Cricetulus griseus: one gene and its partners. The protein of the gene in region 2 binds, or shares a complex with, the protein of the main gene of each other region. Links are inferred from orthologs where the notes say so. Each region holds a gene or a part of one and is shown on either strand. Other genes may lie near its edges.

What was found.
Region 1: Taf12 (region 2) and Tada3 share a complex: the UniProt entries of both Homo sapiens proteins name them as parts of the STAGA transcription coactivator-HAT complex. The link is inferred for Cricetulus griseus from reciprocal best matches to the Homo sapiens genes TAF12 and TADA3.
Region 3: Taf12 (region 2) and Taf13 share a complex: the UniProt entries of both Homo sapiens proteins name them as parts of the TFIID basal transcription factor complex. The link is inferred for Cricetulus griseus from reciprocal best matches to the Homo sapiens genes TAF12 and TAF13.

Annotation. Positions count from the first base shown.
Region 1 is NC_048601.1:31,429,556-31,433,210, reverse strand, and holds part of Tada3 (transcriptional adapter 3), read right to left. Parts: intron 3,637-3,655; exon of another isoform or gene 3,550-3,636; intron 3,167-3,549; coding exon 3,057-3,166; intron 2,506-3,056; coding exon 2,320-2,505; intron 319-2,319; coding exon 126-318; 3' UTR 1-125. UniProt on the Homo sapiens protein: Functions as a component of the PCAF complex. The PCAF complex is capable of efficiently acetylating histones in a nucleosomal context. The PCAF complex could be considered as the human version of the yeast SAGA complex.
Region 2 is NC_048595.1:20,968,452-20,972,106, forward strand, and holds part of Taf12 (transcription initiation factor TFIID subunit 12), read right to left. Parts: intron 3,467-3,655; exon of another isoform or gene 3,402-3,466; intron 637-3,401; coding exon 385-636; intron 1-384. UniProt on the Homo sapiens protein: The TFIID basal transcription factor complex plays a major role in the initiation of RNA polymerase II (Pol II)-dependent transcription.
Region 3 is NW_023276806.1:48,539,799-48,543,138, reverse strand, and holds the end of Taf13 (transcription initiation factor TFIID subunit 13), read left to right. Parts: intron 1-1,593; coding exon 1,594-1,764; 3' UTR 1,765-2,719; downstream 2,720-3,340. UniProt on the Homo sapiens protein: The TFIID basal transcription factor complex plays a major role in the initiation of RNA polymerase II (Pol II)-dependent transcription.

The DNA of each region.
Region 1 (3,655 bases), on a different chromosome or scaffold from region 2:
TGCTGGCTGCACAAAGCTCAGCTGAGTGGCCTGAGACTGTTGTCATTTGATGGGCAGCCCCCAGCCAAGGTTTCAAAGGAAGTGGGCTTCTGACAGGCCAGGGAGGAGGCCAGCAGCAGGTGATGCTACCCGTCCAGGAGCTTCAGGATGCTCTCTCGTTCTTTCAGGGTTTTCCAGGCCTGGTCCTTTTCCTTCTTTGTAGGGGTGCGCTTCTTCTGCCGGGCAGCCATGATCTTGCGAAAGGCATCCATGACCTCATTGTCTGCCATGCGGACCCGCTGTCTCAGCTCCTGCCGGCTCACCTCCTCCTTTGCCAACCTATGGGGGCCAAGTATCATGGTTATCCAATCTCCAGTTATCATCCTCTTCCAAACTGAGCCTCCTCACAATCCCGGCTCTCATTCCCCTCTGCTTATTAGAATTACAGATGTGCACAGCTGCACTGAGCTTCTTCAATCCTGTGGGGATCTGACTCAGTCCCACTGATGGTGGAGCTGAAGGTCTCTAGGAAATCTAATCCTTGTTGCTTGGGCCCAAAGTACCTTGCCCACAGTCCAGTAGCTGGAGCACAGCAGGGCCCAGGGCTGAGCTTCAGCACCAAAACATTTCCACAGCAAGCCATACCTCTGGAACTACACAGCATTGTTTTTAATCTCGTTTGGTCCTACCCTTGCTGCTCCTTGCCCTTGAAAGGGAACTTTTTATTTTGTTGTTGTTTTGAGACAGGGATTCTCTGTGTAACATTGCTGGCTATCCTGGAACTCTTTGTAGACCAGGTTGGCCTCAGAGATCCGCCTACCTATGCCTCCCAAGTACTGGGATTAAAGGTGTGTGCTACCACCTCCCAGCTTGCTTGTCTTAGAAGAAAGAAGGTACACAAGACCCTAGCAGACAGTGGGCACCATGGTTTCTTTATCCTCAGATCCCCATAAAGCTCAGCAGCAGCTGCCCCTCCCCTCTGAATGGCGTGTCTCCTCCGACCACCTAAGAGAACAGGAGTCTCCTTCTGCCTTCTTCCTGGCCCAGCACCAGGTCAGACACAGTAAGAGCTAGCCAGGTAATCAAGAACCTGCTTTGTCAAGGCTCTAAGAGGAACAAGAAGTCTTGCTTGAGTGCTAACAAAAGGGCAGCTCCTACCAATGCCCTTCACATGTAATCTCTACCCTTGTCACCAGTGCAAGGAAAGTCAGATGGGAGTTGATATAAAATGAATGACACTATGACTGATTCTAAGACACTAGTAAGTGTGGGGTGACCAGCCAATCAAAGCCATAGACAGCTAAGAGAACATTAGCAACTCATATGTCTGAGCATACTGATATTCATTATTTTCTCTATGATGTTTTTTATGTATGTTATATGTATACGTCTTCATATTGCACATGTATATGTGCATGCATGTGGAGGCCAGAGGTTGATACTGGATCTTTCTTTATCATGCTTCGCCTTATTTATTTTTCCTGTAGCTTAGGTATTCACTAGAGGGTTATATGCCATGGTGTGCATGTGGAGGCTAGAGGACAACTTGCAGGAGTTGGTTTTCTTTCTCTATCATCTGGGTTTTAGGTTTTAGGGATTGAAATCAAGTGGCCAGGCTTGGTGGTAAGTGCCTTTACCCACTGAGAAATGGCCTATTCTGCTAGGCTTGCCTCTCTGCCCACCCAAGCACTGGGGTTACAGATATGTTCTGCTGTGGCCAGCTTTCATGTGGGTGCTGTAGACTGAACGCAAGAGGTCAGGCTTGGTGGCAAGCATTTTCCCCACTGCAGATCTTCCCAGTGCCTCTGTGGTATTTTGATTGAATAATACCATAAAGAAAAAGAAAACACAGCCAGGTAGTGGTGGAGGTAGCACATCCCAGCACTTGGGCGGCAAAGGCAGGTGGATCTCAGTGAGTTTGAGGCCAGCCTGGTCTACTGGGTGAGTTCCAGAACAGCCAAGGTTACACAGAGAAACCCTGTCTTGAAAAAAAGAAAGAAAACACACATTTAAAAAAAAAAAACAAAAGCAACTTAACACTGTAAATATTACTAAATTATGCTTATCAATGGAGTCAGGGCTGAAGAGATGGCTCAGTGGTTAAGTGTGTACTACTCTTGCAGAGGACTGGGGTTTAGTTCCCAGCACCTACATTGGGCGTCTGGCAAAAACCAGTAACTTCATCAACTGCAGGGCAGCTGACACCACAGACACCTGCACTCATATTCACAGACCCATCCATATGTCAGTTGTGGGTGCTAGAGCCCTGTCCCTGGACTTAGCATCCATCAGAGATCCAACTGGGGGATAGGGCTAGTCCCTGGCACAGTGCTCACTCACCTCAGCAGGTCATGCTTCTTGGTGCGGTTGTGTGCACTGAGTGCCTTCAGCTCAGCCTGCCGTTTGCGCAGCTCAGCGAGGACCTCATCCTCTGAGTCCTCAGCAGGCCGGTCCTCGGACTCCAGGAGGCCCTGTGCAATCAGCTCCTCCTTGATGCGGCTCTCCAAGGACTTGGTGTGGGGCACACTGTAGGCAAGGCCAGCACCTGAGCTCTGAGCGCCAGCTGGAGGGCCCTCAGAGGATCCCAGTCTGGCAAGGTGAACCCATATAGCCACACATATATGTTTCAGGCCTTGTTATGTGTGAGTTGCAATCTTTTATGATATATATTTCCAAGATTTTTTAAAACTATATGTAACTCTTAAATATAGTTTAAGTACAAATAGGATTACTCCTTTCCCCCCATTTGGTACTCTGTTTTAATTCTTTCATGTCAAGTATATTTCTGTAATGATTAGCAGTTACAAGTTATTTCTTATGCAGTTTTAGCACTCAACTAGCCATTCCCTTCAGCTGGACACTTGGGTTATCTCCAGGAAAGGCAAAGGTATGATCAAGTCTGTACTAAGCCTGTCCAGAATCGAGGCCAGCACTTCCATGTGCTGTGCAAACATCTGTATAGCCAGATGTCTGTGCATGGTCAAATGGCCCCAGCCTCTGTTTACAAAGCATGCCCCCCTAAGAAGACAGAGAGAAGCTGACAGTCACGCCCAGAGTGCAGATGGTATGTCACTCACCTGAAGGGTTTGTTCTGATTTCGGGGAGAGGTGCTTGCGCCATCAGCCCCTGATTCTTTCCCAGACATGTCAGGAATAGGAGAGTCCTCCATAGGGGAAATAATATTTTCCTGAAGACCAGAGATAGGTTAGAAGGAGGAAGCAATAGAATCCCTGTTTTAATGCTCCTCTCTGACATACACAGTCTTTATAGGCTAGATAGAAATAGTCTGCCATCTTTTCATCCCACTCATGTTAAAAAGCTTCCTCCAATTCCAGCACTGAGGAGGCAGAGGCAGGCAGATCTCTGTGAGTTCGAAGCCAGTCTGGTCTACAGAGTAAGTTCCAGGACAGGCTCCTGTCTCAAAAAACAAAAACAAAAAAAGCTTCCTCCAAAGCTTTGATCATTATAGAAATTCTTTTATTGAGGGGAGGGGAATATGGACAGCAAAAGAAGGGGACACAAGAGAAACAGTGACAAGGAAATAACCTAGCACTGTTTTTTCCTCCACAGCAGCTGAGCTACACTACATTTCCCAGGCTCCACTGCAGTCAGATGGACTCATGGGACAAATTCTTCATTGGAAAGTGATCTAAAAAGGTAAGGCTCCCAGTCACAC
Region 2 (3,655 bases):
GCCACTTGCCCTATAAAAGTTTGTTATTAAATGTGTTATATGGAAACACACAGTCATATATAACAGTAAAAACTGATATATATTGAATTGTAGACAATTCAATAAAAATGCTATTATATACCAAAGGGGAAAGACCTTTTTCTTTATTTTATCCCCCTCCCAGCAGGGTTTCTCTGTGTAGTTCTGGCTGTCCTGGAACTCACTCTGTAGACCAGGCTGGCCTTGGACTGTCTCCCAAGGGCTGGGATTAAACTTATGGGCCACCACTGCTCAGCTTGGAAAAGACTTCAACAGAGAGAATGAGCTCCTGTTATGTCCACCTCTGTGCATATTATAGGTCCAAATGAGAGAGAGGGTCTACAGAGAAGGAAAGCTAAGAGGTACCTGATTGTTTTCAGGGCTAAGACGACCGCCTGTCCCAGGAGTGCCTGGTATCTTTACTACAGTGGTGCTATTGGCCATGGAGCCTTGTGGAGGGGTGCTGGCTGGCTCTGGCTTTATAGATGAGAAATTGGAGAGGTTGATTAGGGCTGAGGGGCCAAACTGGTTCATAATCTGCCGAGCTTTGGACTTCAGCTCATAGAGTTTATCAAGATCCTGCTTCTTTTTGGAGCTGTGAGGACCAAGGCCAATCAGCTGGAGAAGGAAAATAGAGACACTGGAGTTACTCTAGAGACACCTGCAGGAGGAGATCTGTCAAGATCTGTCAGTCGTGAGTCTTTGGTGTATCCAGGAGGGTGATTACTTGATAGTGACAAAAAATAGAGTGAATGGAGAATATGCATTGCTTACACCTGGTTTTAGAGACCATCTTGTCTCCAAAATCGAACTGAAACAGTTCACAAAATTGAAATGAGGAAAAAGTAAATGAAATGAGGAATCTTGTTTTCAAAAATAAACTAGAATAAGCAAGACATTTTAAAGGAATTCATACAAGCAGAATACTGGGTTAAGTACTTACATGCATTATTTAAATATGAAATCATGTTAAATTCAAATAAATAGCACAGTCACATACTTAAAACTCAGTCACAAAGCTTAAGAAAATGATTAGTTCATTTTCAAGACATGTTGAAGCATTTCAAAACATGCTTAAATCCAAGGCCGGGCTCTGCCCAGGAAACACAACTTTTAGCAATTGTTAAAAGCTCTGCTTTACCATAAGGAACTTTTCCCCCTTTGTGTTTTAGCAATCTTGAAGTCATGCTGAGACCTTCACCTAAAGCAGCTGCAACTCCTATTAGAGCCATAGGCTGACTCTGTGAACATTGGCTGTGGTGTCAAGACCAGAAGCACATTCACCAAGTTCTGCCCACAGTGGCCTCAAGGAGTTTACTTACTGCTATCTGAGTGTCTAGATCTTTAATTACATCAGCAACAGCTGTAAGACCGGTGTAATGAGAGGCAGCCATTTTCAAAAGCTACCTGTAAACAAATAACTAGCATCAAGTACCACCCCTGCCACAGAAGTATTCCAGTTGTGTGGCAAGGTGCAACGTGACCAACCAGGATCCAGCAGAAGATGCAACTCAGTGGTAGAAAGCTTGCCTAGTATGTGTGAGGCCTTGGGCTTCATCACCCCATCAAGACAGTATTATAAAGTCAGGTGTGGCACGCTTTTAGTCCCAGCACTTGGAAGACAGAGACAAGGGGATCTCTGTGAGTTCGAGGACAGCCTGGTCTACAATGTGAGTTCCAGGATAGACAGCTGTTATACAGATAAACCCTGTCTCCAAAACAAACAAATGTTCTGCTTCTCCTGTTCTCTACCTCTCTTCATCACACAAGCAGAGGCAGATGGGCGGTGGCTGAACTCACTCTATTGACCAGGCTGTCTTGGAACTCACAGAGGTCCACCTACCTCTGCCTCCCAAGTGCTGGGATGAAAGGTGAGTGCCACACCTAACTTTATAAGGTGTGCTCCATCACTCCCAGAAACAAAAATCAGTATATTAAAAAGTTTGCCCACCAGGAATTGGTGGCGCATGCCTTTAAAGCCAGCACTCAGGAGGCAGAGGCAAGTGCATCTCTTTGAGTTCCAGGCAGGACAGGCTCCACAACAATACAAAGAAACCCTGCCTCGAAAAACAAAACAAAACCCCCCCAAAAGTTAAAACAAACAAACAAAAAAACAACAACAAAACCCAAAAAGTTTTGCCCATCTTGGTATTAACTCACTATGCTACCCATGTATTATGATGACTTTTTGTTTTTAAGATTTTATTTTTATTTATTATATATACAGTCTTCTGCCTGCATGCCAGCAGAGGGCACCAGATCTCATTCAAGGTGGTTGTGAGACATCATGTGGTTGCTGGGAATTGAACTCAGGACCTCTGGAAGAGCAGTCAGTGCTCTTAACCGCTGAGCCATCTCTCCAGCCCGATTCTTTTTTTTTTTTTTTTTTTTTTCTAAGATTTTATTTATTATGTATACAATGTTCTGCCAGCATGTATGCTTGCAGGTTGGAAGAGGGCAGTAGATCTCATTATAGATGGTTGTGAGCCACCATGTGGTTGCTGGTAATTGAAATCAGGACCTCTGGAAGAGCAGTCAGTGCTCTTAACCCCTGAGCCATCTCTCCAGCCCCATTCTTTATTTTTATTTCTTGTTTTTGTAATTGTTGTTTGTTTTTAGATAGGGTCTCACTCTGTTCCCCAGGTTGCCCTGGAAATTTACTATGGGACAACTGAACTCAAGAACAATCTTCCTGCTTTAGCCTCCCAAATGCTGGCATTATAGGCCAGAACCCTAAGACCCAGCTCATCCTTGGCTATATAGAGTTTGAAGCCAGAATGGGTTAGTGACACCGTCTCAGAAAAGACTGTAGTGGGCTGGAGAAATGGCTCAATGATTAAGAGCACATTTGCTCTTTCAAATGACCTGTGTTAAATTCCCAGCACTTACACCAAGTGATGTAACTCTGGCAGAACCCAGCACATCTGTATATAAACATATATTCAGGCAAAACAATAATACACATAAAAATAAACATCTGGGTGTGGTGGTGAATTCTTGGGCTTCATCCAAGCATCTAGGAGGCAGAGGCAGGTGATCTCTGAGTTAGAGGCAGCCTGGTCTACATAGAGTTCCAGGACAACCAGGACTTGGAGATAATATCCTGTCTCAATGCCCCTTCCTAATAATGAATAAATAGATATATAAATAATAAATAAGTACAAACAAATAAATATACAAACAAGATGCTGCTGTAGAGATGGCTCAGGGGTTAAGAGTACTTACTGCTCTTCCAGAGGACCCAGTTTCAATTCCCAGCACCCACATGGCAATTAACAAGTGTTCCAGGGGAACTGCCACCCACCCACCCATAGCAAAATACCAATACCAATGCACATAAAGAATATTCATATATCTATATGCTGGGCGATAGTGGCACACACCTTTAGTCCTAGCTCTTGGGAGGCACAAGCAGGCAGATCTCTCTGAGTTCAAGGCCAGACTGGTCTTACAGAGCGAGTTCCAGGATGCCAAAGTTCCAAAGCTACACAGAGAATCCCTGTCAAAAAAAAAAAAAAAAAAAAAACCATCACTCATTGGTGGTGCACACCTTTAATCCCAGCACTTGGGAGGCAGATGCAGGTGGATCTCTGAGTTTGAGGCCACCCTGGTCTACAGAGTGCCAGGATAGCCAGGG
Region 3 (3,340 bases), on a different chromosome or scaffold from region 2:
AATGCTTGGCAAATGCAGATCACCAAGCTACATCTCCAACTCTGAGTTTAACATCTTGAATGACCACTTTTATGGATTTCTTCCTTTCCTTTTTTTGGATATATTAATAGGGATATGGTTACTGAGTGGCTATATTTAGTTGTTATGAGTGTTCACCCTTATTTTGGATTATTTCCTTACTACAGAATAAAAGTGAAAAAAATTACTCAGCAAGGGCAGAGGCTGAGCTTGGTGGAAGAACCAAGCCTAGTATGTGTAAAGGCCTGGGTTTAATGCAGCACTGAAGGAAAACATTAGCAGTAGTACTGGTAGATCATGCACTTAGCATGTGTGTGAGGCCCTGGGTTCAGTCCCCAGCACCATATTAAATGACAAAATCTGGCATAGTGGATCATACCTGCAATCCCAGAATTCCAGAGACAGATAGGAGTATCACTACAAGTTAAAAAAAATCCAACCTGGTCTATGGTCTGGATGGTAAGTTCTAGACCATCCAGAGCTACATAATGAAACCATCTAAAAAAGTAAAATAAAATGAAAGAATGAAACCAAAAAAAAAAAAAAAAACCCACAATAAACAAAAAAAAAACAAACACTAACAAACAGCCAGGTGTGAGAGGCTATAATCTCAGCATGTTAACATTCAAGAGACTGAGGCAGGAGGACCCCAGTTTCAAGATCAGCTTCATCTACATAGCAAGACCTTGTCTCAACAAACAAGAACAAAGCTGGGTAGTGTGGTACATGTGCTAGTTGCAGAGGCAGGAGGATGGCTACAATTGAGACCAGCTTGGGCTATATACAGGGACCCTGTCTCAAAAGATAAACAGTAAGGAATTGAACAAGTGGGCCTGAGTTCAGGGCAAGGCTGGTCTACATAGTGCATTCCAGGTTATATAGTGAGATGATGTCTCAGAAACAACAATAAATGTTACAGATGTGTCTTCAAGTATGGATTTTGGAATATAAGGTCTAAGCAGTCTTACTATTTAGCCTCCATAAACCTCCCTTCCTCCAAAGCTATTAAACTAATGTTATTATTTGCTAGCATCCAAGAACACCTTTAACAAGACCACCTCATCCCCTACAAAACAAAAACTCTACCTATATCGCAAAACAAAACAGGAGTATCTCCAAATTTGATAGATTTTGTTATTTTTAGTATTTATTATTTATTTTTGAGGCAGGATCTCACTATGTAATCCTGTTTGGCCTGGAACTTGCTCAATAAACCAGGAACTTGATATATACAAATGTTTATATAAACCAGGCTTGCCTTGAACTCACAGAAATCTGCCTGTTTCTGCCTCCTGCATGCTGGGGTTAAAGGTGTGTATCAGCTAACTTGTCCTGCTCACTTTGGTAGTTTTAATGTCTTAAGGACATAGGGCATGGACAGGATAACATGAGGGTAGCTTAAGAGTCGGGGGCACACATAGGAAAGCTCTCTTCTCGTTGCTGTGTCCACTTGCTCTGCTTTCCTGCTGGTTGGCCTAGTGCACTGTAAGTAAGGCATATTTACCTAATAAATATACCCGAACCCTATATGCTTATGTATTGGTGAATCTCCATTTATATATTTCCTTGTCATAGACTCACAAGGCAATGTCGATTGGAAGACAGGGACGAGTGCAAGTTGAAGATATTGTCTTCCTGATTCGAAAGGACCCAAGGAAGTTTGCTAGAGTTAAAGACTTACTTACTATGAATGAAGAATTGAAACGGGCTAGAAAAGCCTTTGATGAAGCCAACTATGGATCTTGACACTGTTTGTAATATCTGAAATTTTGATATTTTGTTTGGAAACCATACATTACAACTTGTCTACAGTAATATCATGATAGCTAGGTACGCAATGAAAGAGGTATTCGATTTTAGCTTTATAATTTGAGCCTTTCATTGCCTGTCTTTATCTGACTATATTTAATTCTTTGCTAGGCTTTAATGACTACTAATTTAAAGTATTGCCAACTGTGTAGTTCCATCTGAAAAAGGTAAAGTAGTATTTAGGTAGACTTGTGTATTCCAAGCTATATACTATAGCTGCATAATATGCAATCTAAATATTCTTTTGACTTTATGAAAGTTGAGGCTTGTGCTTTATGTATTTCAAGTTTTTATGACAATGGCAGGAGAAGTTATTACAGAGAATGAACTGGTTTGTGTTTCTTTTAAGGAACTAAGTTCTTGTAAGAATCTTTATCTGTCTTTGTAGATCATTTATTTTAATATTTTCTAAAGAATACTTTTTTTTTTTTAAAGAAACTACTATTTGTTAAGTGTTAGTGGACCTCATCTTCCTTGGTAACAGTAAAGTTTCTGAAAATAAATGCTTTCAGTAGTAGGGATGGCAAAGCTTATAACCCTGATGTCAGGACAGGTATTTTGGGTGGTGTAGTTACGTAAATAATAAGTACTTCCATTGTGACAATGTATAGTTGACTAAACCTGTGTGTGTGTGTGTGTGTGTGTGTGTGTGTGTGCAAACCATTTCTGTAGTCAAGGATATGCAGGCTTTGTGTATACTTAGCTTATTGCATTAAATTATTGTTCTATTTAGCTTATAATAAGGATTAAAATTGCATTTAAAGAGATTACTGAATGTTACTCTGTGAAACTTACTGGTGCTTCTTAATATCTCTAAATCAGTAGTTGGGGAAATATCACCTACTTAATCTGCTGATACAAGGAATAAAAAATGAAAAATTTAACACACTAATATGTGAGTTTGTGATTTATTTATTATTTACATTAAACATTTTTTAAGACAGTTTCTCTGTGTAGTCTGTCCTAAAACTTGCTTTGTATACCAGGCTAGCTTCAAACTCACAGAAATCTGTCTACCTCTGCTTCCTGAGTGTGGTAATTAAAGGAATGTACCATTACATGTGGCTGGGTTTGTGATTTATACCCTCCATGATACTGAATCCATCACTGTATGATAGTCCTAGTTGTTTTATCTTGTTATAGCAGAAATTCTTTTCTATCTTATTTTATAATGTACCTCAGTTGATGATGAGATACCTGGGCTGATCTTTTTTTTTTTTTTTTTTTTTTTTTTTTTTTTTTTTTTTTTTTTTTTGGTTTTTCGAGACAGGGTTTCTCTGTGGCTTTAGAACTAGCTCTTGTAGACCAGGCTGGCCTCGAACTCACAGAGATCCACCTGCCTCTGCCTCCCAAGTGCTGGGATTAAAGGCATGCGCCACCAACGCCCGGCTGGGCTGATCATTTTATTTAAAAAAGCCATTGAAGGGGTTGGAGAGATAGTTCAGAGTTAAGAAAACAGGCTACTTTTTCCAGAGGGACTCAGACTCAAATTCATTTCTCAGCATTTACATGA